Saccharomyces cerevisiae S288C: one gene and its partners. The gene in region 1 interacts genetically with each later gene. Each region holds a gene or a part of one and is shown in the gene's direction. Other genes may lie near its edges.

Region 1 (9,641 bases):
CAATGGATGTGGTAGAATACAGGGAAGGCCAAGCTGTTGTTCAATGGATGCGGTTCGAGGCCCAGCGCAAGGGGGGCGCTTCGAAGCATAGAACATTATCCGCGGAAACGGGTATTAGGGGTGAGGGTGAATAAGGAAAGTCAGGGAAATCGGGCCAGAGTAACACCCATTCATAGCACTCGTACAAGGTGCTTTTAACTTGCCTGCATGTGTGGAGTCACAAATTAGGGGACTCAGGCACAGAAGCAAGGGTCCTTTTTTGGTTCCCTGTTTCCTCCTGCGCATTTCGTATTTTTTCTCATCTCTTGGCTCTGGATCCGTTATCTGTTCTGTTACACAAGAAATCGTACATTTACAATATAGTGATAATCGTGGACTAGAGCAAGATTTCAAATAAGTAACAGCAGCAAAATGGCAAGACAAAAGATGTTTTATAACAAATTACTCGGCATGCTCAGCGTAGGATTCGGGTTTGCTTGGGCGCTCGAGAACATTACTATATACGAATTTGACTTTGGCAAGGGCATTCTCGATCAAAGCTACGGCGGTGTATTTTCAAACAACGGCCCTTCGCAAGTGCAGCTGCGGGATGCAGTCTTGATGAATGGGACAGTGGTATACGATTCAAACGGCGCTTGGGACAGTAGTGCGCTGGAGGAATGGCTCCAGGGACAGAAAAAAGTTTCCATCGAAAAAATATTTGAAAATATTGGGCCCAGCGCCGTGTATCCGTCTATTTCGCCTGGGGTCGTGATTGCGTCACCATCGCAAACGCATCCAGACTACTTCTACCAATGGATAAGGGACAGCGCGTTGACGATAAACAGTATTGTCTCTCATTCTGCGGGCCCGGCAATAGAGACGTTATTGCAGTACCTGAACGTTTCATTCCACTTGCAAAGAAGCAACAACACATTGGGCGCTGGCATTGGTTACACTAACGATACAGTGGCTTTGGGAGACCCTAAGTGGAACGTCGACAACACGGCTTTCACGGAAGATTGGGGTCGTCCTCAAAACGATGGGCCTGCTCTTCGAAGCATTGCCATCTTAAAAATCATCGACTACATCAAGCAATCTGGCACTGATCTGGGGGCCAAGTACCCATTCCAGTCCACCGCAGATATCTTTGATGATATTGTACGTTGGGACCTGAGGTTCATTATTGACCACTGGAATTCTTCCGGATTTGATCTATGGGAGGAAGTCAATGGCATGCATTTCTTTACTTTACTGGTACAACTGTCTGCAGTGGACAAGTCGCTGTCGTATTTTAACGCCTCAGAACGGTCGTCTCCCTTTGTTGAAGAATTGCGTCAGACACGCCGGGACATCTCCAAGTTTTTAGTGGACCCTGCGAATGGGTTTATCAACGGCAAGTACAATTATATTGTTGGGACACCCATGATTGCCGACACATTGAGATCCGGACTGGACATATCCACTTTATTAGCTGCGAACACCGTCCACGATGCGCCATCTGCTTCCCATCTTCCGTTCGATATCAATGACCCTGCCGTCCTGAACACGTTGCACCATTTGATGTTGCACATGCGTTCGATATACCCCATCAACGATAGCTCCAAAAATGCAACGGGTATTGCCCTGGGCCGGTATCCTGAGGACGTATATGATGGATATGGCTTTGGCGAGGGAAATCCCTGGGTCCTGGCCACGTGTACCGCTTCAACAACGCTTTATCAGCTCATTTACAGACACATCTCTGAGCAGCATGACTTGGTTGTCCCAATGAACAACGATTGTTCGAACGCATTTTGGAGCGAGCTGGTATTCTCCAACCTCACGACTTTGGGAAATGACGAAGGCTATTTGATTTTGGAGTTCAATACACCTGCCTTCAATCAAACCATACAAAAAATCTTCCAACTAGCTGATTCATTCTTGGTCAAGCTGAAAGCTCACGTGGGAACAGACGGGGAACTAAGTGAACAATTTAACAAATACACAGGGTTTATGCAGGGTGCCCAACACCTTACCTGGTCCTATACTTCATTCTGGGATGCCTATCAAATAAGACAAGAAGTTTTACAGAGTTTGTAGACAAAAAAAAAAATAAAAGGAAAGCGAGAAGTATACACAAGTGTATTTCCTAGATATTTACATCAAATATATATATATACTTATTTACAAAACTCTGATATTATAAATTGATTAGATACTATGTCGGAACGTCCAGCCCAACCACGTTTGCAGTTCTTTTCACTTTCTCATCCTGTGTCAACTTGTTGCCAGGATTGTATCTGTCGACCAGCTCCTCGTATTCTCTTTGGTTGTCCAAGAACTTGATGATGTCCAAAGCGTGTTCGAATATCTCGTCAACGTTTTGTCCCTGGGCCACCTTTTTCTCCCACTTTATATCGTTTTGTAATATGGAACGTAATGACTTAGAGTCGGCTATAAACAAATTCAAAGATCTGTCGCTTACCGGATCTAGTTTTTTCCATTTCTCTAACTGTCTGTTGATGTTCTCATGCGAGTCTCTCTGATTTTGTTTCTTAGCATATTCCAACTTTGTTATCATTGCCTTTCGTAGATTGCCCCAATTGACTATCTTGCTTGGCCTTTCATATTTCAGAATGGCTCTTATGAGTCCTCTATATGTGCGTAATGTTCTTGGTCTATCCATTTCCCTGGCACTCTCTCTTTCTCTCTCTTTTCAGCTTTTTGTTATCCACTTATCGCTGCAAATGAAACTCTAGTGCAATTTGAGATATTCACTTTTTGCAAAGGCGAAGAGAAGGGGGTGGTTAAATCTACAATTTCATACATAAAACAGAGAAAATGATTATAAATTATAGGAAAGTAGGTAAGCCATGGCAGAGAAATCAATATTTAATGAGCCTGATGTGGATTTCCATTTGAAATTAAATCAACAATTATTTCATATTCCTTATGAACTACTGTCCAAACGTATCAAGCATACTCAAGCGGTAATTAATAAGGAAACCAAATCACTACATGAACACACGGCCGCATTAAATCAAATATTTGAACATAATGACGTTGAGCACGACGAGTTGGCACTAGCAAAAATAACTGAAATGATTAGGAAAGTTGACCATATAGAAAGATTTTTAAATACGCAAATCAAGTCCTACTGTCAGATTTTGAACAGAATTAAAAAAAGGCTGGAGTTTTTCCACGAACTGAAGGACATCAAGTCACAAAATTCAGGAACATCGCACAATGGAAATAATGAGGGTACCAGGACTAAATTGATACAGTGGTATCAGAGTTATACAAACATTTTAATTGGTGATTATCTGACGAGGAATAACCCGATTAAATACAACTCGGAGACAAAGGATCATTGGAACTCTGGCGTAGTGTTTTTGAAACAGAGCCAACTGGATGATCTCATTGATTATGATGTCCTCTTGGAGGCTAATAGAATTTCGACTTCGTTACTACATGAGCGTAATCTCTTACCCCTAATTTCATGGATAAACGAGAACAAAAAGACACTGACCAAAAAGTCCTCTATATTAGAGTTTCAAGCAAGATTGCAAGAATATATTGAACTACTAAAGGTGGATAACTATACCGACGCTATAGTATGTTTTCAAAGATTCCTTTTACCATTCGTTAAGAGCAACTTCACCGATTTAAAATTAGCATCTGGACTTCTGATTTTTATCAAATACTGTAATGATCAAAAGCCAACTTCTTCTACCAGCTCTGGATTCGATACTGAAGAGATTAAGTCTCAAAGTTTACCAATGAAGAAAGATCGAATATTTCAACATTTTTTTCACAAATCTTTACCTAGAATTACCTCCAAACCTGCGGTGAATACAACAGACTATGACAAGAGTTCCTTAATAAATTTACAAAGTGGAGATTTCGAAAGATATCTGAATTTATTAGATGATCAAAGATGGTCGGTATTAAATGATTTATTCTTGAGCGACTTTTATTCCATGTATGGCATATCACAAAATGACCCTTTATTGATATACCTGTCACTAGGTATATCGTCTTTGAAGACAAGAGATTGCCTGCACCCTTCTGACGATGAAAATGGAAATCAAGAGACGGAAACTGCCACAACAGCAGAGAAAGAAGTTGAAGATTTACAACTCTTTACGCTACATTCACTAAAAAGGAAAAATTGTCCCGTTTGCAGTGAGACTTTCAAACCAATAACACAGGCATTACCATTTGCTCATCACATTCAGTCTCAATTATTTGAAAATCCAATACTATTACCAAATGGAAATGTTTACGACAGTAAAAAATTGAAGAAATTGGCCAAAACATTGAAAAAGCAAAACTTAATTTCTTTAAATCCAGGTCAAATTATGGATCCAGTTGACATGAAAATATTTTGCGAATCAGATTCTATCAAAATGTACCCAACCTGAAATAGTTTCAAGCTATATGCATTTTTTTATATAAAGATTTGTCCAACTTTCACAACTATTTTACAGATACTTACGCTATATAAGAATTAGGGAAAATGAAAGTTCTTTCATCAACATGGCGACATTCTTCCTTCTGTACTTAGTCTGAATCAGAATCTGTGTCTTTTTTGCTTTTACGGTTATGTTTTGAACTATTCGAGACATATTTACTAAAGATGTAGAACCTAGCATCACGTTCTTTCGCAGGTTTTGTAGTATCTTGTTCGCTATTCGTTCTCCGGTGATGATATCCTGGAAAATTTTCCCATTGGAATTTGCTCGATCTGCTCAGAGTTAGTCCATTTTTTTTGGCTAAAAGTTTGATTTGCCATGAATCATAGGGCTCTCCATCGAAAAGGGACAGTATGATGTTACCATAACCTTCGGCGGTCAATTTTTTAGCCTGGGGAGTATCCTCATTAAGATCATAGCCTTGCGTATAACGAAGAGTATCATTTTGAATTTTCGTGTTTATAAGATTAAATAATTGTAAGGAATTTTGGAAAAAGTTAAAAATTAAGTCCTGATGCTCTCTAATATTTCTTTCTTGATCCTTAATACCTTTTCCATTATGGGGAAAATTGAAAACTATATTTTGTAAAGGTTTGTTACCCCAACGATGATCGCTAAGCCTGTTGATTATTTTAAACCAAGTATTATTTTTGGAAATTTTAAAGCTCTTTACGAGCTTCGTAACGTCAATCTGGAAAAATATCGGAATATTTAGATCTTTTAAGTACTGGTAATTTTCCTCAAAAGTATGCGGATATTTCAATTTCAGCTCATTCACAGAATTATCGTAACTTGTTATGATTAAATTGTCACTTTCAATATAGTTTTGTTCAACAATGGATCTGGCAAAAGAAAAATCTCCTTCACCACATAGCATCAAAGTTTCATCCTTCTCAAAGGGCATAACCTTCCCTTGATTAAGTTTTTGGAATTCTTGGTTTCTCTTCACGGTTTTGTTATTAGCGCTCGAATTTTTCTTTCTTAGTTCATGTTTTTGCTTACTTTCAATATTCCTCACTAATTTCACTTTGGCCTTGTGCCTTAATAATGCACCTTTTAGGCCTTTACTCCCAATCTTACCCTTCAATTTCCTGGCCATTGATAATTTTAGGTTATGATTGGTGTTAATCTATGATTTTAACGTTACTAAACGTTGTCAGGCTCCAATGAATTTAAGTAATGGAAGGTTTTCTTTTAAGCTCATCGCATCGCCAATTCTTTTCTTTTTTTTTTTTTTTTTCCGAATAATTTACATTCTTTCTACAGGAGAAAAATATGGGAGCCAGCTTGAAATACTAAAATCATTAATAATACTGATGTACATGATCCAATAACAAGATCAACTACGACTTTTGTTATTACTGATTCAGAAGGAAAAAAAAATTGACTTCCAAGAAGTCATAAAAATAAGTGGTCTCTAGCGGGATCGAACCGCTGATCCCCGCGTTATTAGCACGGTGCCTTAACCAACTGGGCCAAGAGACCAGGAATTTGTTGAAGTATTTCATGTAAATTTAATATTAGTACTGATAGAGATTTCCGATATATATGATCGCTCTCAATTATTTTATATCAAGTAAATGTCAATGTCGTTAGTTTGCACTAGCTGTTACTATTTATTCTTAGTAAAGGTTTTTAAAAAAAACTGTAATTATAACCAGGCAGGCGTATGCAGAGCGAAGGTCTTGGAAAAAGAAAAATATAGAACAGTACATTTAGGAAACGCTAAAAAAGTCACCAAGCAGGCAGGTCACAGGCTCCACTTGAACATAAGTTAGTTCGCTAATACAGGTTGAATTTCCATTGTGGGATAGTTTATTATCTTCAGCGAAAAAAATCTTTTTTGATTGAAGTGTTGATCAAGATTATTTGTAACCTCCTATCTTTAGTTGAACTGATCCAAAAACAATGAATACTCCACAGATTAGTCTGTATGAACCCGGGACAATATTAACTGTGGGATCTCATCATGCTAAGATTATCAAATACCTTACGAGTGGTGGATTCGCACAAGTATATACTGCCGAAATTTCCCCTCCTGACCCATATAGCAATGCTAACATAGCATGCTTGAAAAGAGTCATTGTCCCCCATAAACAGGGTTTAAATACCTTGAGAGCTGAAGTGGATGCTATGAAACTCCTTAGAAATAATAAGCATGTTGTTTCTTACATAGATTCACATGCTGCAAGGTCTGTAAATGGTATAGCATATGAGGTGTTTGTGTTAATGGAATTTTGTGAACGTGGAGGTCTTATAGATTTTATGAACACCAGATTACAAAATAGATTACAAGAATCTGAAATATTAGAAATTATGAGTCAAACCGTCCAAGGTATAACTGCAATGCACGCTCTGCAGCCGCCATTGATTCATAGAGATATTAAGATTGAGAATGTACTTATTTCTCATGATGGCTTGTATAAAGTTTGTGATTTTGGTTCCGTTTCCGGTGTGATAAGGCCACCTAGAAATACTCAAGAGTTTAATTATGTTCAACACGACATCCTAACAAATACTACAGCTCAGTATAGATCACCTGAAATGATTGACCTGTACAGAGGGTTACCTATCGACGAAAAATCTGATATTTGGGCTCTTGGTGTCTTTCTTTACAAAATATGTTACTATACTACGCCGTTTGAAAAAAGTGGTGAAGCCGGTATACTACATGCAAGGTATCAATATCCATCCTTTCCGCAGTATAGTGACAGGTTGAAAAATTTGATACGTCTTATGTTAATGGAAGCACCATCTCAGAGGCCAAATATTTGTCAAGTTTTAGAGGAGGTTTCCAGGTTACAGAATAAGCCTTGCCCGATTAGAAATTTTTACTTGTTAAGAGCAATGAATCAGAATGCGAATACCCAATTGGCCGGTGAACCGTCTTCGACAACTTATGTTCCAACACAGAAATTTATTCCCGTACAAAGCCTTCAGAGCATCAACCAGCCACCAAATATGATGCCTGTAACTCACGTCAGTACTACTCCTAATTTGGGTACTTTCCCTATATCTATTAATGATAATAACAAGACAGAAGTAACGGCGCATGCTGGCTTACAGGTTGGAAGCCATTCAAATTTGACTAGTCCCTTAATGAAAACAAAATCCGTTCCACTTTCTGATGAATTTGCATCACTATATTATAAAGAGCTACACCCTTTTCAAAAGTCTCAGACTTTCAAATCAGTAGAAAGTTTCCAATCCCCACAAAGGAAGTCTATGCCTCCATTATCGCTTACTCCTGTTAATAATGACATTTTTGATAGAGTTTCGGCAATAAATCGTCCAAATAACTACGTTGATTCTGAGACGCAAACTATAGATAACATGGCTGTGCCAAACTTAAAACTATCTCCCACCATTACAAGCAAATCACTAAGCTCCACAAAAGAAATTGCTGCTCCAGATAATATAAATGGAAGCAAGATTGTGCGTTCACTAAGCTCTAAGTTAAAAAAGGTTATTACTGGTGAATCTCGCGGCAATTCTCCGATTAAATCAAGGCAAAATACTGGTGATAGTATCAGATCAGCATTTGGTAAGCTTCGTCATGGGTTTACAGGAAACTCAGTGAACAATAGCAGGTCTGCTTCCTTTGATAATAACAATGTCAACGGCAATGGTAACAATACAAACAGGCGATTAGTTTCGTCTTCAACCTCCTCCTTTCCTAAATTTAATTCTGATACCAAAAGAAAAGAGGAATCAGACAAGAATCAGAGACTGGAAAAACGTCGCAGTATGCCTCCTTCAATTTTATCAGATTTTGACCAGCATGAGAGGAATAACTCGAGAACTGGATCAAGGGACTATTACAGGTCTCATTCTCCAGTGAAGAAAACTCAAGCATCAGCTAAAACGACATCAAAGCCTACTTTGATACCAGATAATGGCAACGTTAATATAAATCAAGAAAAGAAGGAATCAATTCAAAGAAGAGTGCATAACTTACTAAAGAGTTCTGATGATCCGGTAACGTATAAATCCGCATCCGGGTATGGTAAATATACAGATATTGGTACAGAAACTTCCAATCGACATTCAAGTGTAAGAATAACACCAATCACAGAAGAAAAGTTTAAGAAAACCCTTAAGGATGGTGTTTTGGACATCAAAACGAAAAGCAACGGTAAAGATAAATCAAGACCACCACGTCCACCACCAAAACCACTACATTTAAGGACAGAAATTCAGAAGATAAGAAACTTTAGTCGTTTACAATCAAAGAAACTGCCGATTGAAAGAATTTCCAGCGAAGCCACAGAAACTATTGTTGATGTTAACGTAGATGATTTAGAAGCCGATTTTAGAAAAAGGTTTCCCAGCAAAGTTTAAAACTTGCTCTCACACATAATAGACTATGTAATATTAAAAGTCATACAAAATGTACAAATTTTCTTTCGTCAATCATTTGAAATTTTTTGAAATATATCTTGTCACTCATTCATTTATTTATTCGTTTCTATTTTCCTATTATATGCTCTATAATCTCGACAAAACGTCGTCAACGACTTGTTGAGTAGAAGCCTTACCACCTAAATCTGGTGTCTTGATAGAACCCTCTCTTAAGTTAGCATCAACAGCCTTGTAGATATCTTGGGCAGCTTCGTTGTGGCCCAAGAATTCCAACATCAAAGCAGTAGATCTTATAGTGGCGATTGGGTTAGCAATACCTTTACCAGCAATATCTGGTGCAGAACCATGGCATGGTTCACCAATGACAATTTCTGGACCTACGTTGGCGCTTGGAACAACACCTAATGAACCGACTAAAGCAGCAGCACCGTCAGATAATATATCCCCGTATAGGTTTGGTGCCACTATCACATCAAAACATTGTGGTTCTCTGAACAGCCTATAAACCATGGAATCCACAATTTGTTCGTTATATTTGATTTGACCGTACTTGTCCTTGTTAGATTCGTAGACTTCCTTACAGATTTCTCTGAATAGACCATCACTTTGAGATAGAACATTTGATTTATGAGTCACTGTCAAAGTGGCTTGGCCTCTTGTTTGTAATCTTTTCAAGGCAATATCTAATGCAATGGTTGCAATTCTTCTTGTTGCAATTTCGGATATTCTCTTTGTGGCATCAGCAACTCTTGTACCTGTGGCCTTGTCAATGTATGTTTTTTCAATTTTAATGTACAGGTCCTCAGTATTTTCTCTGACGATAACCATGTCAATTGGTTTACC
Region 2 (7,554 bases), on another chromosome or scaffold:
GAATGGCAATGAGTAAAATGAGAAGAAGTCTGTAATTTTTCCATCGGGCTGTTCGACTACATATGAGAAAATTACTTGTTTATCCAATGGTAACGATTCTTCACCAATGAAATTATGTTCGAATTCTTCTTTTGTGAAAATTTGAATTAGTTCGAACCTGGATTGATATCTTTTGAACAACTCAAAAACTTGGTCAATATCTTCCTTCTTTAATTTTCTCAATCCCGCTGTCTTTGTTTTGGCCGGTAACGCATTCTCAGCAATCATATCCTCCTCTGTGTGCCCATCTGGTAACCCTGTGAAATCTACTTCATAAAGTTTCTTCCAATTCAAGGGACGATGAGTATAACGACACGTACTCACAGGTGCTGGCAAAACAATACCTGCCGTGTACAATGCATGCCAGATGTCACATTTGTTCACTCGTCTCGTAATTTCTTTAATTAGAACAGGTGTTAATCTCTTCGATCTTAGCTGTTTGTGAACGCACAAGAAATTGATTTCTACACTAGGCACTTGTTTACCTCTAACACCAAGTGTTACTGGTATGGCTGAGATAAAGGCAACTAATTTCTGTGTTTCTTTAACGCGAACACCAATATGCCAATCCTTCTTCCAACCTGGACTCTTTAAAGCCCAATTGAAGAATTCTTTGGTATAGTTAAATCTGAAGCCTGCATCGCGGTCTTCCACGTAGTTTTCATTTAGTAGAACGAAAACATCTTCAAGCTGTTTTTTGTTGTCCACATCAATACTACACCATTCGAAGCTAGACAATAAAGGTAGTGGCTTGTCAGATATATCTTCCGGTGTCTTTGGCTTATCAATGGGGCCTTCTTCCACCACCTTTTCATCGAAATCTTTGACCGGTTGCGTTCTCCAGAATTTGTGGTCTTTCATAGCTTTTTTCTGTTCTTGAGTGAATTTTGAAGTATCGTCATTATTCAACTGTAATAACTTCAATAAATTCTCTAATTTTTTCGCTTTATCCTCTTCTGACATTCTATAAATACGTTTACTACCGAAGCTCTATGACAACCAGAGCTATTGTACAGATCATTCTCTAAAAAGCGTGCAACACATATCATCTTCAATTATAGTGAATTACTTTTATCATGAGCAACGGCTGAAATTATTTTATCCTATTGTTTTATGACAGTATCCTTTCAAAAGAGTCGAAAGGATCCTCTGTTGCAAGAACTACTATTACGTAATTATACATAGTCCGCCTGCAATTTCTAGTGAGACTTTGCTTTGCTTTCCACTTTGCGATTAATATTGAGAATTTTAAACGTTAACTGAATTCTTACCCACCCATAATAAGAACTCTAACTGGCGAATTTATCATGAAACAAATCTGCAAGAATAAAAAATTAGAGAATCGTGCAATTCAATTTAATTGCCTTGTCCGTTGTAAAACTTTTCCATAGGCCCTACCTTGAGTTGATCATATGTATTATTCTATATATATTATATCCAGTCGGGTAATAAATTTTCTCGCCCTCGAAAAAAAGAAGTGAAAAATTTGTCTCGATGAGCTGAGATGAGTTTGAAAGAAGCAAAGAGTTTTAATTTGTAAACGATAGCAAGTGTACCCTCAGTTGAGTCTATTACGCCTTCCTTATTTGGAAACTTAGAAGACGAATAAAAAAAACAAAATAACTAATGATTTCTGCTACTAATTGGGTTCCAAGAGGGTTTTCCTCGGAATTTCCTGAAAAGTATGTTCTGGATGATGAGGAAGTGGAAAGAATTAACCAATTAGCACAGTTGAATTTGGATGATGCTAAAGCTACTTTGGAAGAAGCAGAAGGCGAATCAGGTGTTGAAGATGACGCCGCAACAGGTAGTTCTAATAAGTTGAAGGATCAGTTGGATATAGATGATGATTTGAAAGAATATAACCTGGAAGAATATGACGATGAGGAAATTGCAGATAATGAGGGTGGTAAAGACGTTTCCATGTTCCCGGGTTTAAGTAATGATAGCGATGTTAAATTCCATGAGGGTGAAAAAGGTGAAGATCCATATATTTCATTGCCTAATCAAGAGGATAGTCAAGAGGAGAAGCAGGAGTTACAAGTTTACCCATCCGATAATTTAGTTCTTGCTGCGAGAACAGAAGATGACGTTTCGTATTTGGATATCTACGTTTACGATGACGGTGCTGGGTTCCACAGTAGCGATATTCCCGTTGAAGAAGGTGATGAAGCTGACCCAGATGTTGCTCGTGGATTGGTTCGTGACCCTGCACTTTACGTTCACCATGATTTAATGTTGCCTGCTTTTCCACTATGTGTTGAGTGGCTTGACTACAAGGTTGGATCCAATTCCGAAGAAGCAGCCAATTATGCTGCCATTGGTACGTTTGATCCACAAATTGAAATTTGGAACTTGGACTGTGTTGACAAGGCCTTTCCCGATATGATTCTGGGTGAACCTCTTGATAATTCAATGGTGTCTTTGAAAAGCAAAAAGAAGAAGAAGAAGTCTAAGACTGGACACATTACTACTCATCATACCGATGCTGTTTTATCCATGGCACACAACAAATATTTCCGTTCCGTTTTAGCATCCACCTCTGCAGATCATACCGTAAAACTATGGGATTTGAACTCAGGTAACGCAGCCCGCTCCTTAGCTTCCATTCATTCAAACAAAAATGTTTCATCATCTGAATGGCACATGTTGAATGGTTCCATTCTTTTGACCGGTGGTTATGATTCTCGAGTAGCTTTAACAGATGTTAGAATTTCTGACGAAAGTCAAATGAGTAAATACTGGTCTGCCATGGCAGGTGAGGAAATAGAAACTGTTACATTTGCCAGTGAAAATATAATATTATGTGGTACTGATTCTGGTAATGTGTATTCTTTCGATATTAGAAACAATGAAAACCGTAAACCAGTTTGGACATTGAAGGCACACGATGCTGGTATCTCCACATTATGTTCAAACAAATTCATCCCTGGTATGATGAGTACAGGGGCCATGGGTGAAAAGACTGTCAAATTATGGAAATTCCCCTTGGATGATGCTACGAACACTAAGGGCCCAAGCATGGTTCTGTCTCGTGATTTCGATGTCGGAAATGTATTGACATCGTCATTCGCTCCAGACATCGAGGTAGCGGGTACCATGGTCATTGGTGGTGTCAATAAAGTTTTGAAACTATGGGACGTTTTTACCAATAGATCTGTACGTAAGAGCTTTAAAAGTGAACTAGAGAATGTTCAAGCAAGAGCAAAAGAAGAAGCCCAAAAAATAGGAAAAAGTTCAAGAATCGCCAGAAAATACACCAGTAACGATAACCCAGATACTGTTATAACCATTGATGATCAAGGTGAAGATGAAGAAGAAAGAGAAGGTGGAGATGAGCATGATGACATGGCATAATCTGGATATGAAAAATATTAAAGCAGAGTACATTGCAAGTACAAATAAAAAATCTATAGAAGATAATACTGTATACTAGTGTAAGAGGAGCCTCAGAAAAAAACAATATAATACATTAATATGTGCTGTTACGGTATAATTTAGCATATGATGACAATGTGGTGAATTACAGTTGTGTAACTTTTTTATATCACCCGGCATATATACGCTCGTAGAATGCGATGTGAAAATTTTCTTTTTTTTTTTTTTTCAAAGTGAAATTTTTTTGAGTGATGAGATGGGAAATGAAAAATTTTGTGCAATTGCGTAGTGTCTACAGTTTTTTAAGTAGTTATTAAAAGTGTTTTGGAAGGTATATTTCTAGGAGAAGAAGCGTGCAGAACAGTATTTAGTGAAAGATGGCTCCTATTGAATACCTACTGTTTGAAGAACCTACTGGTTACGCAGTTTTCAAGGTTAAGTTGCAACAAGATGACATTGGTTCAAGATTAAAAGAAGTTCAAGAGCAAATCAATGATTTTGGTGCTTTTACAAAGTTAATCGAACTTGTATCTTTCGCGCCATTCAAAGGTGCTGCTGAAGCCCTTGAAAATGCTAACGACATATCAGAAGGTTTAGTCTCTGAGAGTTTGAAAGCTATCTTGGATTTAAACTTACCAAAGGCTTCCTCGAAAAAGAAGAACATTACTTTGGCTATTTCCGATAAAAACTTAGGTCCTTCTATTAAGGAAGAATTTCCATATGTTGATTGTATTTCAAATGAACTTGCTCAGGATTTGATTCGTGGTGTCAGATTACATGGCGAAAAATTATTCAAAGGTCTACAATCTGGTGACTTAGAAAGAGCCCAATTAGGTTTAGGTCACGCTTACTCCAGAGCTAAAGTGAAGTTCTCTGTTCAAAAGAACGACAATCACATCATTCAAGCTATTGCTTTATTAGATCAATTAGATAAAGATATCAACACTTTTGCTATGAGAGTTAAAGAGTGGTATGGCTGGCATTTCCCCGAACTGGCTAAATTGGTACCAGACAACTACACTTTTGCCAAGTTGGTTCTTTTTATCAAGGACAAAGCTTCATTAAACGATGACTCCTTACATGATTTGGCTGCTCTTTTGAATGAGGATTCGGGAATTGCACAAAGAGTCATTGACAATGCCCGTATCTCCATGGGACAAGATATATCAGAAACCGATATGGAAAATGTTTGTGTTTTCGCTCAGAGAGTCGCTTCCTTAGCTGATTACAGAAGACAATTATACGATTACTTATGCGAAAAAATGCACACTGTTGCACCAAACTTATCAGAATTGATTGGTGAAGTGATTGGTGCTAGATTAATTTCTCACGCAGGTTCCCTAACTAATTTATCTAAGCAAGCAGCTTCAACGGTTCAAATTCTTGGTGCTGAAAAGGCTTTGTTCAGAGCTTTAAAAACTAAAGGTAACACTCCAAAATACGGTTTGATTTACCACAGTGGTTTTATTTCTAAGGCCTCTGCCAAGAACAAGGGTCGTATTTCTAGATACTTGGCTAACAAATGTTCTATGGCCTCTAGAATTGACAATTACTCTGAGGAACCATCTAATGTTTTTGGTTCCGTACTAAAGAAACAAGTTGAGCAAAGATTAGAATTCTACAACACTGGTAAGCCAACTTTGAAGAATGAATTAGCCATTCAAGAAGCCATGGAACTTTATAACAAAGATAAACCAGCTGCAGAAGTGGAAGAAACCAAGGAAAAGGAATCCTCAAAGAAGAGAAAATTAGAAGATGATGATGAAGAAAAGAAGGAAAAGAAAGAGAAAAAATCGAAGAAGGAAAAGAAAGAAAAGAAGGAAAAGAAGGACAAAAAGGAAAAGAAAGATAAAAAGGAAAAGAAGGATAAAAAGAAGAAAAGTAAGGATTAAAAGGAACAATGAATCGAAATAAAGTATATCCCATCTTTTTGTGTACTTTTCTTCCCTTTAAAGTTTTTCATATATATATATATTATCTTTTATTCCCTTCTAATATTCTTCTTTAGGATTTGGAAGCTGTATATTGTATATTTAGAAATATTATTAAATAAAAAAGTCATATGTTATTTTGAGCTTAAGTACCCTCTTATGCCTCTTTCACTCGCCATTACTGACATTCTGTGATCGCCATTCATATATATAGGCCTGATTGTGCACCAATTGCCGCGCTATCACACCTCCATAAGCGATAGCATTCTTCAGAATATCTTGAAGGCTCAAAACCAAGCCATTGACCGCACAAATCAACTAAAGAACCCATGTCAGACAACGAAAGTTTCTCAAATCCATTAGGCCCCTCACTAGGCGCTACAAGACATTTAAATTTCAGTCCCTTACTGGGACCGACAATCAATTGTGTTAGCACACTTCCTATGAATCCCGTTATAAATTCTGGTGGTTGTAGTGTACATTCATTTTCCGTCATTACCTTCATGCTGGCGATTTTATCAGAGGTGCCAATTACTATTATATCAGGGGAGAACTGGGCTAACTGTGATATGATAGATCTACTTATCATGTTACCAAAAATCGGCGATATACTAATGAAATTCTCCTCCATAGAAAATAATAACGTCTTTCCAAATGAATAAATCGGGAAAGAAAAACCATATACTGTTTCATCGGCGGTGTCATTTTTTTGATCAGGATCAACCTCGTTTGGAAAGTTTTCGTCGTAATTCCACGAGTGTTTACCTGAAGATTGGGGAAGACTTGGACTTTTCACCGTCAATGTAGTTTTAATTTCACCAATAGAGGTTAATTGAAGCAGATTTTTGGGGAATAATGGGTTCATTATCTTAGTAGTAATGACGGCTGTCGAATATTGAGGAACATCCAAGTCCTGAGGAAACTCAACTTTTGGAACCGGGCAGACTTCTAAAGATTGCAGGTTTTTTGAAATCTCTGGGAGATCTAGCAGATGTTTTGGTTCTGGTAAGTCATTCCATTGTTTAAACTTCAAAAAGAATCAAGTAACATAAGTTAGTCAAACCACTCTACTCTAGCAAAATATGATGGGGAAAAAAGATTATTGTAACATACAAGCATCGCTATAAATGAAAATTTTACTGTAGTGCGATGATATCTTGGTCGCTGTTTCTTATTATTTCGCCTGTTGCCACCTATTGCCACGCAACTTCTTAAATTGATTTCAATGAAGTCTGAAATTTTGATGCGAAAGAAAAAAAAAAGTAAAGGCAATAAAACTTCATCAAGTCAAACGTCATCTATAAATAATCCCACTTCAGAATTGAAAAAGACTACATTTGAGTGGAGGAACAAAAGCAAAAATGTCTGAATTAGGTGCCAAATATCAACAGTTGCAAAATGAGTTAGAAGAGTTTATTGTGGCCAGACAAAAATTAGAGACACAATTACAAGAAAACAAGATTGTAAATGAAGAGTTTGACCAATTAGAAGAAGATACACCTGTGTACAAATTGACAGGCAATGTCCTTTTACCAGTTGAACAAAGTGAGGCACGTACCAACGTGGACAAAAGATTAGAGTTCATCGAAACAGAAATTACAAGATGCGAAAAGAACATAAGGGACAAGCAGGAAGAACTAGAAAAGATGAGAAGCGAGCTAATTAAACTGAACAATACAGCAGCTTCCACTGGCCCAGGAAGGTAAAACAAACTCACAGGTCCTCGGAAAGACAAGAAAGCGCACAGTACCAATAAATCTGCCCAAAATAAAATTTTCTTTTATATACAATTATGTAACTTACAAACAAAATACCTACGCATTTCACTGTCCTAAACTTCAAATTGACATGTAAGATTGCTTAACCCCTAACTAATTGAGATTTGATTAAATTTACCGTAGACATTAACGTATACCAGGCAAACTCTTCAGTATTGTTATAGTACTCACCCAAACGCATGACCCTATGTAATTTATCCTTTGCAAAAGTAAACGTTTCTTTGTAATTGTGGGATTTATCCTGAGCCATAAATAACTTTGAACCAATGTAGGTGCTCGAAACAGCCAATCTCTTAGCATACCATGCAGAATCATGGTGGTCCTTTTCGTTGGAAAAGTAAATCATATCATCGGACAATCTGTGTAGTTCAGGAATTGCAGTTTCAAAGAGAAAGGCGCTTGGAATAGCCAATTGTGACATTAGTTCC
Region 3 (2,465 bases), on another chromosome or scaffold:
TTTTATGGGATGCAAGGGGAGGTAAGCCCTTTAACTCTTCGTAATAGGAACTGCTTCCAACGGCATCAAATTCTATTCTTGATTTCCATTTCAGTATACCTTTAGTTAAGTCTGCTACCATGCTAGGCACTCTCTGCCTTTCTTATGGTTTGGTTACGCATACTCTTCCTTTATATATTCATTGTCATATTTTAAGGAAGCAATCGCTCCCGACGCAAAGTAAAAATATTCAGTGCTTTGCACTCCAGTTAGAAAAAATGAAGAGAATTCAATTGAGAATAAGCAGGGAAGTAATTGGATTGGGAGAATCTAAAAAATGTGGAACTCACTAAAAGCATTCGCTCTAGTGTTCGGAGGTTGTTGCTCCAATGTTATTACATTTGAAACCTTAATGAGCAACGAAACAGGCAGCATTAATAATCTCATTACTTTTTGTCAATTTTTATTTGTTACATGTCAGGGACTCCCCGAATTTCTGGATGTTCATCAACCTTTCCCTTACTTCAAGCCTCTGAAAACTCCACTTCACGTTTATGTCATTACTGTCGTTTTATTTTATATTTCATCTACGACGAATAATAACGTATTTAAATACAACATATCCATTCCGATTCATATCGTTTTCAGATGCTTCGGAACCGTAATAACCATGTTTACATGCTGGTTATTAAATGGTAGGAAATATACAAAGATTCAGATTTTATCAACACTATTTTTAACCATTGGAGCTATAATTGCCTCATTATTCAAAGATGCTGATTTTCGGTACCAAGATTTGAAACTGCAAGCGTGGAAAATTGGAAGTGACCAATCTGTAGATCTCACTTTTATTTTTGGCATTTGTATACTAGTACTTTCATCATTCACATCATCTTTACTTTCAGCATACAATGAACGTACGTATCAAAAATATGGAAAGCATTGGAAGGAGAATATCTTTTACAGTCATTTTTTATCATTACCTCTCTTTCTATTTAGTCGAAAGCAGTTAATTCACGAATATCGAGTGATGAGAAAGTCTGAAAGAATATTGTGTTCAAATTTTGGAGGGAAGATTCTAGTCCCGCGAGAAGAAACTCTCCTTCTTTTCAATGTGTTAACACAATATTTTTGCGTCAAGGGTGTTAATATCCTCGCCAGTAAAACAAACGCTCTGACACTTTCCATAACATTACTTGTAAGAAAATTTATAAGTCTTTTACTGAGCGTCCGACTTTTCGATAATAACTTGTCATATACTGGCTACATCGGGGTCTACCTAGTCTTTTTTGGTGCCTTTATATACTCGCTGGGATCAATTCACCCCAGGCAAAATGACAAGGGGGCGATAAAGAAAAGTAAATGAACACACATTATAAACTAACCTTAAATCCTACTTGTATGTTCCTTAACTCTATATTAGTGGTGTTGACGTAAGTTTAGATAAAATCGCGAACGCTGCCGCCTGGAAGTAAATGAAAAAAAAAAAAAAAAGAATTCATCACCTAAACTCACTAATCTTTAAAACTCATTCATGAGAAGTGGAGAACTATATTACAGCTATGGAACAAAGGAACAACGGTATGCAAAATTTCGATCTCTGGGTTTTAATAAATGCATGTAGCCAATTTTATCTTACTAACAATCTTTGTGTTTTCTCTGTGTATAGTCTTTCAAGCAAAATATAATGAATACAAACAAATTTTGGAAGAATTGCAAACAAAAATCATAGAATTAGGTCATGACAAAGATGAACACACTATAGTCATAAAAACACTGAAAGACGCTGAGCCGACGAGAAAATGTTACAGGATGATAGGTGGCGCACTTGTTGAAAGTGATGTTCAAACGAGTTTGCCTATTCTTGAAACTAAGAAGGAAAACATAGAAGGTACAATAAGTAAAATGAAAGAAACCTTAATACAAACTGCAAAAGAGTTTGAAAAATGGAAAAAAGACAATAAGATTCAAGTCGTTAAAAACTAAACCATATATAAAATCTATTGCAGTACTTAGTTTGGCAAAAAATATAAATAAACACAATCAGGTACTCTTATGTATTTATGTGAGCCATTTATAAAGAATTATAAAGGATATGAAAACATATATTAGTTTGTTTTTTTGAATGTTTCAAGTTTCTTGCCAACAGAGGAAGTCGTAACGAAAGAAACAACAAAAAATATCCACGCAACAATGACGCCACAAATGGCGCTAATATAAACCCAAGAATTGCTGATTTCCCAACTTCTTGGGTATTCATCATTAGCAAGGTGACGGATAGCTTTAACGTCTTTGTCAGTAGTGAACGACAGGCCAATCTTACGATAGTCAGTGAGGAATGTAAACACTCCATGGCGGTCTGGAAGGATGAATTCACCGGTGGTGTAATACTGAGTTTCAGAATCGTTTCCGCTTGGCGACAATGTTAGACGGTAGTACGGATCCACTTGTCTTAGTTCAAATTGGATATCATCAGCGATATGTGG
Region 4 (8,908 bases), on another chromosome or scaffold:
GTATACAAAAACTCAGTGAAACAACAGATCGATTCCGCAGACTTACTAGTGGCAAATTTGGTAAATGAGAATTTCGTACTGTCGGAGAAGCTGGATACAAAAGCAACCGAGATCAAACAGCTGCAGAAGCAGATAGACTCGCTAAACGCACAAGTCAAGGAGCTGAAGACTCAGACTTCCCAACAGGCAGAAAATTCAGAAGTCATAAAGGACCTTTACGAGTACCTCTGTAACGTACGTGTACATAAAAGCTACGAGGATGATTCTGGGTTGTGGTTCGACATCTCGCAGGGCACCCACTCAGGGGGATCTTCCGATGATTATTCGATAATGGACTATAAACTCGGATTTGTCAAGGGCCAGGCCCAAGTCACAGAAGTCATATATGCGCCCGTTCTTAAACAGCGATCCACCGAGGAACTATACTCGCTACAGTCGAAACTACCGGAATACCTCTTCGAAACGTTGAGTTTCCCCCTCTCGTCGCTAAACCAATTCTATAACAAAATCGCTAAAAGCCTGAATAAGAAAAGAGAGAAAAAAGATGAAACCGAGTAAGCTGCTACATAATGTCTATATATCTACACATAAAATTCCGATTATTCCTTTGCATACCTGATTTGCCCCTCAGAATCCACAACCAGACTTTTCAAGAAGGTCTTTTTTGCCCCTTTATCCTTCATGGTTTTCAAAATTTTGTACAACGACTTGCCCTTGTGAAGCTCGATACCGTTCGAGGTCTTTTCCACTTTCTCTGCCTTCTTGATCACAGGCTTCTCCACTTTCTTTGCAGGAGTTGCCACTGGCTGGTGCTGGTGCTGCTTCTGCTGCTGCTTCTGCTGCTGCTTCTGCTTCTGCTTCTTGTTGCCCTTGTACAACGCTTTCTGGTACTTCTCGTCCTCGCTGATGCAAGACGTGTGATTCTTGTAACTCACGCCATCTTCAAACGTCTTGGAGCAATCTATGCATGTATAGTACGCGTTAGGACATCTATAATAATGCTTTTCGGTATTCTTCTTGGGCACAGTATCATTACACACCTCACAGTTGAACGTAACCATCCTGTAATAACAAATATTTCTTGACTGAGACCGTTTGCTGTTGTATACAGAATACTCTTAGAGCTCATCGCAAGTTAAAAATTTTCAATTTTTTTTCACTTTTTCCCGTCAAGGCAAAAAGCAACCAAAAGAGAATGAACCTTTATTTTTGATTTATTTATTATGAGATGCTGCTAGTCCACTCATCTGCATCAATGTAGTAGTCACAAAGCTAATATTTAGACGTTACTTTGATATCTCTGTCCATGAGAGCACTTATTTTAGGAAGTTAAATGAGACAGTCAATAGTTCACAATATCCCGTCAGCAATGGAGGGAAAAGGCATTCCTTTTCCATAGGATTTTAATCGTTTTCAAGCATCATACGCCCTCGAGGAACTCTTGTTTTCGCTTTACTATGCAACCATTGATGTATTTCTGTATAAATGTGCGTCACGTGGCCTTGTGTCTCTTATTTCCACTTGTTTTTTCACAATGCGGAAAACCTCGATTAAAGTAGAAAAAAAGGATATAATAGGAGTATACCATATTGGATAGTTCAATCTATAAACAAACAATCGCATAACCGCACGTATATACACGCACACACCTATCAATCACAATGGCTTTGGAACCTATTGATTATACTACTCACTCGAGAGAGATCGACGCAGAGTACCTGAAGATTGTCAGAGGCTCCGATCCTGACACCACCTGGTTGATTATTTCACCCAATGCGAAAAAAGAATACGAACCTGAGTCTACCGGTTCCTCCTTTCACGATTTCTTGCAATTGTTTGATGAAACCAAGGTCCAGTACGGACTGGCACGTGTGTCCCCACCAGGGTCAGACGTTGAGAAGATTATTATCATTGGTTGGTGTCCTGATTCTGCGCCATTGAAGACAAGGGCCTCTTTCGCCGCCAATTTTGCTGCAGTTGCTAATAATCTGTTCAAGGGTTACCACGTTCAAGTTACCGCCAGAGACGAGGACGATCTTGACGAAAATGAACTGTTGATGAAAATCAGTAACGCGGCCGGTGCCCGTTATTCTATTCAGACTTCCTCCAAGCAACAGGGGAAGGCTTCCACTCCTCCCGTGAAGAAATCCTTCACACCTTCCAAGAGCCCTGCTCCAGTTTCTAAGAAGGAACCAGTCAAGACTCCTTCCCCAGCACCTGCTGCTAAGATTTCTTCCCGTGTTAACGACAACAATGACGACGACGATTGGAATGAGCCTGAATTAAAGGAACGCGACTTCGATCAGGCTCCCCTGAAACCAAATCAATCATCTTACAAACCAATTGGCAAAATCGACTTGCAAAAAGTGATTGCTGAAGAAAAGGCTAAGGAGGACCCACGTCTTGTTCAAAAGCCAACCGCTGCTGGTTCCAAGATTGATCCTAGTTCTGATATCGCTAATTTAAAGAACGAATCAAAATTAAAGAGGGACTCCGAGTTTAACTCCTTTTTGGGCACCACTAAACCCCCCTCCATGACGGAATCTTCATTAAAGAATGATGATGATAAAGTCATTAAGGGTTTTAGAAACGAGAAATCACCTGCTCAATTATGGGCCGAAAGAAAGGCAAAGCAAAACAGCGGCAACGCCGAAACTAAGGCTGAGGCACCAAAACCTGAAGTTCCAGAAGATGAGCCTGAAGGTGAACCTGACGTCAAAGATTTGAAATCAAAATTTGAAGGATTGGCCGCTTCAGAAAAAGAGGAGGAAGAAATGGAAAACAAATTTGCTCCTCCTCCAAAGAAATCAGAACCAACTATTATCTCACCAAAACCCTTCTCCAAGCCACAAGAACCTGTGAAAGCTGAAGAAGCCGAGCAGCCTAAGACTGATTACAAGAAGATCGGCAACCCATTACCCGGTATGCACATTGAAGCGGATAATGAGGAAGAACCAGAAGAGAATGATGATGACTGGGATGATGATGAAGACGAGGCTGCTCAACCTCCTTTGCCTTCGAGGAATGTTGCGTCAGGAGCACCAGTGCAAAAAGAAGAGCCTGAACAAGAAGAGATCGCCCCAAGCTTACCTTCTAGAAACTCGATCCCAGCTCCAAAACAAGAAGAAGCACCTGAACAAGCACCTGAAGAAGAAATTGAAGAAGAAGCTGAGGAAGCCGCTCCACAGCTGCCATCAAGAAGCTCTGCAGCTCCTCCTCCGCCTCCAAGACGAGCAACTCCAGAGAAAAAGCCAAAGGAAAATCCTTGGGCCACAGCAGAATATGATTACGATGCTGCAGAAGATAACGAACTGACCTTTGTGGAAAATGACAAGATTATCAATATTGAATTTGTCGACGATGACTGGTGGCTAGGGGAACTAGAGAAAGACGGCTCAAAAGGTCTCTTCCCCAGCAATTATGTGTCTTTGGGCAACTAGAATCACACGTCAGCGTCATGCTATTATATTATTCTTACGTAAAAAAATACTTACAGAGACGTTAAAGCTTTTGTATAGATACTTTCACGAGCCTTCCCTTTCAGTAAAATGAACAAATTATTTTGCCTTGTCCTTCTTTGTTTCAAGCGTTTATATGACTCCTCTACAGTATTATTTTTCAACAGACGGTGTGCCCGTACGGCGTTGTCAAAACCTCGAACATAAAACAACACTGAAACAAACTTATTGCACTCCTGCATCGCATACAGATCTGATACTTACTACAACCATAATGCTGTTTTAGAATCGCATCAGGTGTTTACCAGAAGTGTATGGTACATGGTGCTTTCCTTATGCTCACTATTTCGGATTTACTTCTAGTCTATGTATAGATTTGTTAGAGACCAGTTTTAAGCTACAATGGAACGTTAAGATTAAGAAATGCATGAAGAGTCTCCCAGTAGATATATAAAGCTGAATTAAATTCAGTACAATGGAAGTTTCCACGTCTTTCTGTATTTTCATACCTTTAATTATAGGAAAAGCACACTACAAAAATACGCTATCATCTACCGAATATAACTGCAATGAACTCATTTGCGTCATTAGGTCTGATATATTCAGTAGTAAACCTTTTAACTAGAGTAGAGGCTCAAATTGTGTTCTACCAGAATAGTAGTACTTCACTGCCTGTCCCTACTTTAGTATCCACCTCAATAGCAGATTTTCACGAGTCCTCATCAACTGGCGAAGTGCAGTATTCATCCTCTTATTCGTATGTGCAGCCCTCAATAGACTCCTTCACTTCATCTAGCTTCTTAACAAGTTTTGAAGCTCCTACCGAAACTTCTTCCAGCTATGCAGTTTCTTCCTCATTGATAACTTCTGATACTTTTTCTTCATACTCTGATATCTTCGATGAAGAAACAAGTTCATTAATATCAACCTCAGCTGCCTCATCGGAGAAAGCCTCGTCCACCCTTTCTTCAACTGCACAACCTCATAGGACATCTCACTCTTCCTCTTCATTCGAGCTACCAGTCACTGCTCCATCATCCTCTAGTTTACCGTCCTCAACTTCATTGACATTTACGTCAGTTAATCCATCTCAAAGTTGGACTTCATTTAACTCAGAAAAATCTAGCGCTCTTTCCTCAACCATAGATTTTACTTCTTCTGAGATTTCAGGTTCAACATCTCCAAAGAGCCTGGAAAGTTTCGATACCACCGGTACTATAACTTCATCTTATTCTCCTTCTCCTTCTTCAAAAAATTCTAACCAGACCTCACTACTCAGCCCATTGGAGCCTCTGTCCAGTTCTTCAGGAGATTTAATATTGAGTTCAACTATTCAAGCTACTACCAATGACCAAACTTCAAAAACTATTCCAACTCTTGTTGACGCCACATCGTCATTACCACCAACATTGAGGTCATCCAGTATGGCACCAACAAGTGGTTCTGATTCAATCTCACACAACTTTACGAGCCCCCCCTCTAAAACAAGTGGTAACTACGATGTTTTGACTTCAAACTCAATAGATCCTTCTCTATTTACAACTACGAGTGAATATTCATCTACACAATTGTCGAGTTTAAATCGGGCCTCAAAAAGTGAAACAGTTAATTTCACTGCTTCTATTGCTTCCACACCATTTGGTACAGATTCGGCTACTTCTCTAATAGACCCCATTAGTTCAGTGGGTTCTACAGCATCTAGCTTTGTGGGAATTTCAACCGCCAATTTTAGTACACAAGGGAACTCGAACTATGTTCCTGAATCAACTGCAAGTGGAAGTTCACAATACCAGGACTGGTCAAGCTCTTCTCTTCCGCTGTCACAAACCACTTGGGTTGTCATCAACACAACTAATACACAAGGGTCTGTAACGTCAACCACATCCCCGGCTTATGTTTCTACGGCCACCAAAACGGTTGACGGGGTGATCACCGAATATGTTACATGGTGTCCTCTAACACAAACCAAATCACAAGCAATTGGGGTCAGTTCGTCCATTTCTAGCGTTCCACAAGCCTCCTCATTTAGCGGTAGTTCTATTTTGAGCTCCAATTCCAGCACTCTTGCTGCCTCGAACAACGTTCCTGAATCAACTGCAAGCGGAAGTTCACAATACCAGGACTGGTCAAGCTCTTCTCTTCCGCTGTCACAAACCACTTGGGTTGTCATCAACACAACTAATACACAAGGGTCTGTAACGTCAACCACATCCCCGGCTTATGTTTCTACGGCCACCAAAACGGTTGACGGGGTGATCACCGAATATGTTACATGGTGTCCTCTAACACAAACCAAATCACAAGCAATTGGGATCAGTTCATCCACGATTAGCGCCACACAAACCTCTAAACCATCTTCAATATTAACATTGGGGATATCGACCTTACAATTGTCTGATGCCACATTTAAGGGGACTGAAACTATAAACACCCATCTCATGACCGAAAGTACTTCAATCACAGAGCCCACCTATTTTAGTGGCACATCGGATAGTTTTTATTTGTGCACCAGTGAAGTTAATCTTGCGTCTTCCTTATCTTCTTATCCAAATTTTTCATCTTCAGAAGGCTCTACGGCGACCATTACTAACTCTACCGTTACATTTGGATCGACCAGCAAGTATCCATCTACTAGTGTATCTAACCCAACAGAAGCCAGCCAACATGTGAGCTCTAGTGTGAACTCACTCACTGATTTTACTTCAAATTCAACCGAAACCATCGCAGTTATATCTAATATTCACAAAACTTCGTCAAATAAAGACTATTCATTGACGACTACGCAATTAAAGACCAGCGGAATGCAAACGCTTGTGCTTTCTACTGTCACAACAACGGTGAACGGTGCTGCTACGGAATACACAACGTGGTGCCCGGCATCAAGTATTGCTTATACGACATCCATATCATATAAAACATTAGTTTTGACCACTGAAGTCTGCTCTCATTCTGAGTGTACTCCAACGGTTATTACCAGTGTTACTGCAACAAGCTCTACAATCCCCCTTTTATCAACCTCTAGCTCTACGGTATTATCTTCTACAGTATCCGAAGGTGCAAAAAATCCCGCTGCTTCTGAAGTAACTATTAATACCCAAGTTTCTGCTACTTCCGAAGCTACTAGTACTAGCACTCAAGTGTCTGCTACTTCTGCGACGGCCACTGCTAGCGAGAGTTCAACCACATCCCAGGTTTCTACTGCTTCCGAAACTATTAGCACTCTCGGTACTCAAAACTTTACCACTACTGGAAGCTTACTTTTCCCGGCTTTGTCTACTGAAATGATAAATACTACTGTGGTTTCCCGAAAAACCCTAATTATTAGTACAGAGGTATGTTCCCATTCCAAATGTGTCCCAACAGTCATTACCGAGGTTGTTACTTCGAAAGGCACGCCTTCTAATGGACATTCTTCTCAAACTCTACAAACGGAGGCAGTAGAGGTGACATTGTCATCCCATCAAACCGTAACTATGAGTACCGAAGTATGTTCTAATTCGATTTGCACACCGACTGTTATTACATCTGTGCAAATGAGAAGTACTCCTTTTCCATACTTAACTTCTTCAACGTCAAGTTCCTCTTTAGCCTCCACCAAAAAAAGTTCCTTAGAAGCCTCCTCAGAAATGTCCACCTTTTCTGTCAGTACGCAAAGTTTGCCTTTGGCATTCACAAGTTCAGAAAAACGCTCCACCACATCTGTCTCTCAATGGTCAAATACCGTTTTAACTAATACAATAATGTCCTCTTCTTCTAATGTCATATCAACAAATGAAAAGCCCAGTAGTACTACCTCTCCATACAACTTCTCTTCGGGGTACTCTTTACCTTCTTCTTCTACACCTTCCCAATATTCACTATCTACAGCTACTACAACAATCAACGGAATCAAAACTGTGTACACAACTTGGTGTCCATTGGCAGAAAAATCTACTGTAGCTGCTTCTTCTCAATCTTCCCGCAGTGTTGACAGGTTTGTTTCGTCGTCAAAACCATCCTCATCTTTATCTCAGACCTCTATTCAATATACATTATCTACTGCTACCACCACCATAAGTGGTTTGAAGACTGTATACACGACTTGGTGTCCATTAACAAGTAAATCGACTTTAGGTGCTACTACTCAAACTTCCTCGACAGCCAAAGTTAGAATTACTTCCGCTTCATCTGCAACATCTACTTCTATTTCTTTGAGCACTTCAACAGAATCAGAATCTTCATCTGGATATTTGTCGAAAGGAGTATGCTCAGGTACTGAATGTACGCAAGATGTGCCAACACAATCATCCTCACCTGCTTCAACGTTAGCATATTCCCCCTCTGTTTCTACATCATCATCATCATCATTCTCAACAACAACTGCATCAACACTAACGTCAACACACACCTCTGTCCCGTTATTACCATCATCTAGCTCTATATCAGCATCTTCGCCATCATCAACTTCGTTGTTATCCACTTCTTTACCATCTCCCGCTTTTACGTCATCAACACTTCCAACAGCAACAGCAGTATCTTCCTCCACTTTCATAGCGTCTTCTCTACCATTGTCCTCTAAATCATCATTGTCGTTATCGCCAGTCTCGTCGTCTATTTTGATGTCTCAGTTTTCATCATCATCATCATCATCATCATCATTGGCATCGTTGCCATCTCTTTCTATATCACCAACTGTTGACACTGTTTCTGTTCTACAACCAACTACTTCCATCGCAACACTAACTTGCACAGACTCACAATGCCAACAGGAGGTATCCACTATCTGTAATGGATCCAACTGTGACGATGTGACTTCAACTGCCACTACTCCTCCATCTACGGTTACTGATACTATGACATGTACTGGATCTGAGTGCCAGAAAACCACATCTAGCAGCTGTGATGGTTACTCGTGTAAAGTATCCGAAACGTATAAATCAAGCGCTACAATATCTGCATGTAGTGGAGAAGGATGCCAAGCTTCCGCTACAAGTGAGCTAAATTCTCAATACGTCACGATGACGTCTGTCATTACCCCAAGTGCCATAACAACAACATCAGTGGAAGTGCATTCAACTGAATCCACTATATCAATTACTACAGTGAAGCCAGTTACATATACATCCAGTGATACTAATGGAGAACTGATAACCATAACAAGTTCCAGCCAAACTGTAATTCCATCAGTAACGACGATAATAACGAGAACAAAAGTGGCCATAACTTCAGCACCAAAGCCAACAACTACGACCTATGTCGAGCAACGACTTTCCTCCAGTGGGATTGCTACTTCTTTTGTTGCTGCTGCATCCTCAACTTGGATTACTACACCCATTGTCAGTACGTATGCTGGTTCGGCGTCAAAATTTCTCTGTAGTAAGTTCTTTATGATAATGGTAATGGTGATCAACTTCATTTAATTTCCCGTATATATTATATGTACGTATATATGCTATAAACAGACACTCTTT

What was found.
Region 2: mutations in PRK1 (region 1) and YKE2 together harm fitness more than expected from each alone (negative genetic interaction), as found in Saccharomyces cerevisiae (3 studies listed by BioGRID, with this or other methods).
Region 3: mutations in PRK1 (region 1) and GIM4 together harm fitness more than expected from each alone (negative genetic interaction), as found in Saccharomyces cerevisiae (5 studies listed by BioGRID, with this or other methods).
Region 4: mutations in PRK1 (region 1) and ABP1 together harm fitness more than expected from each alone (negative genetic interaction), as found in Saccharomyces cerevisiae (7 studies listed by BioGRID, with this or other methods).

The regions. Positions count from the first base shown.
Region 1 is NC_001141.2:177,593-187,233, forward strand, and holds PRK1 (serine/threonine protein kinase PRK1), read left to right. Parts: upstream 1-6,344; coding exon 6,345-8,777; downstream 8,778-9,641. Other genes in the region: SGA1 (glucan 1,4-alpha-glucosidase), read left to right, coding at 412-2,061; FMC1 (Fmc1p), read right to left, coding at 2,180-2,647; glucose-induced degradation complex subunit FYV10, read left to right, coding at 2,835-4,385; BMT5 (25S rRNA (uracil2634-N3)-methyltransferase), read right to left, coding at 4,525-5,535; LYS12 (homoisocitrate dehydrogenase), read right to left, coding at 8,925-9,641. UniProt on the Saccharomyces cerevisiae protein: Protein kinase involved in the regulation of actin cytoskeleton organization and endocytosis. Phosphorylates PAN1 which disrupts the interaction between PAN1 and END3, and between PAN1 and SLA1. Phosphorylates SCD5.
Region 2 is NC_001144.5:542,303-549,856, forward strand, and holds YKE2 (tubulin-binding prefolding complex subunit YKE2), read left to right. Parts: upstream 1-6,709; coding exon 6,710-7,054; downstream 7,055-7,554. Other genes in the region: glycylpeptide N-tetradecanoyltransferase NMT1, read right to left, coding at 1-1,002; rRNA-processing protein PWP1, read left to right, coding at 1,666-3,396; snoRNP complex protein NOP56, read left to right, coding at 3,795-5,309; PBA1 (Pba1p), read right to left, coding at 5,551-6,375, 6,462-6,467; ubiquinone biosynthesis protein COQ9, read right to left, coding at 7,209-7,554. UniProt on the Saccharomyces cerevisiae protein: Binds specifically to cytosolic chaperonin (c-CPN) and transfers target proteins to it. Binds to nascent polypeptide chain and promotes folding in an environment in which there are many competing pathways for nonnative proteins.
Region 3 is NC_001137.3:146,635-149,099, forward strand, and holds GIM4 (tubulin-binding prefolding complex subunit GIM4), read left to right. Parts: upstream 1-1,541; coding exon 1,542-1,560; intron 1,561-1,648; coding exon 1,649-1,965; downstream 1,966-2,465. Other genes in the region: VAB2 (Vab2p), read right to left, coding at 1-121; YEA4 (Yea4p), read left to right, coding at 317-1,345; WBP1 (dolichyl-diphosphooligosaccharide-protein glycotransferase), read right to left, coding at 2,088-2,465. UniProt on the Saccharomyces cerevisiae protein: Binds specifically to cytosolic chaperonin (c-CPN) and transfers target proteins to it. Binds to nascent polypeptide chain and promotes folding in an environment in which there are many competing pathways for nonnative proteins.
Region 4 is NC_001135.5:263,407-272,314, forward strand, and holds ABP1 (Abp1p), read left to right. Parts: upstream 1-1,661; coding exon 1,662-3,440; downstream 3,441-8,908. Other genes in the region: CSM1 (Csm1p), read left to right, coding at 1-558; YCR087C-A (uncharacterized protein), read right to left, coding at 600-1,061; FIG2 (Fig2p), read left to right, coding at 4,028-8,857. UniProt on the Saccharomyces cerevisiae protein: Regulates ARP2/3 complex-mediated actin assembly. Recruits ARP2/3 complex to sides of preexisting actin filaments, which may promote nucleation or stabilization of filament branches. Binds to actin filaments, but not actin monomers.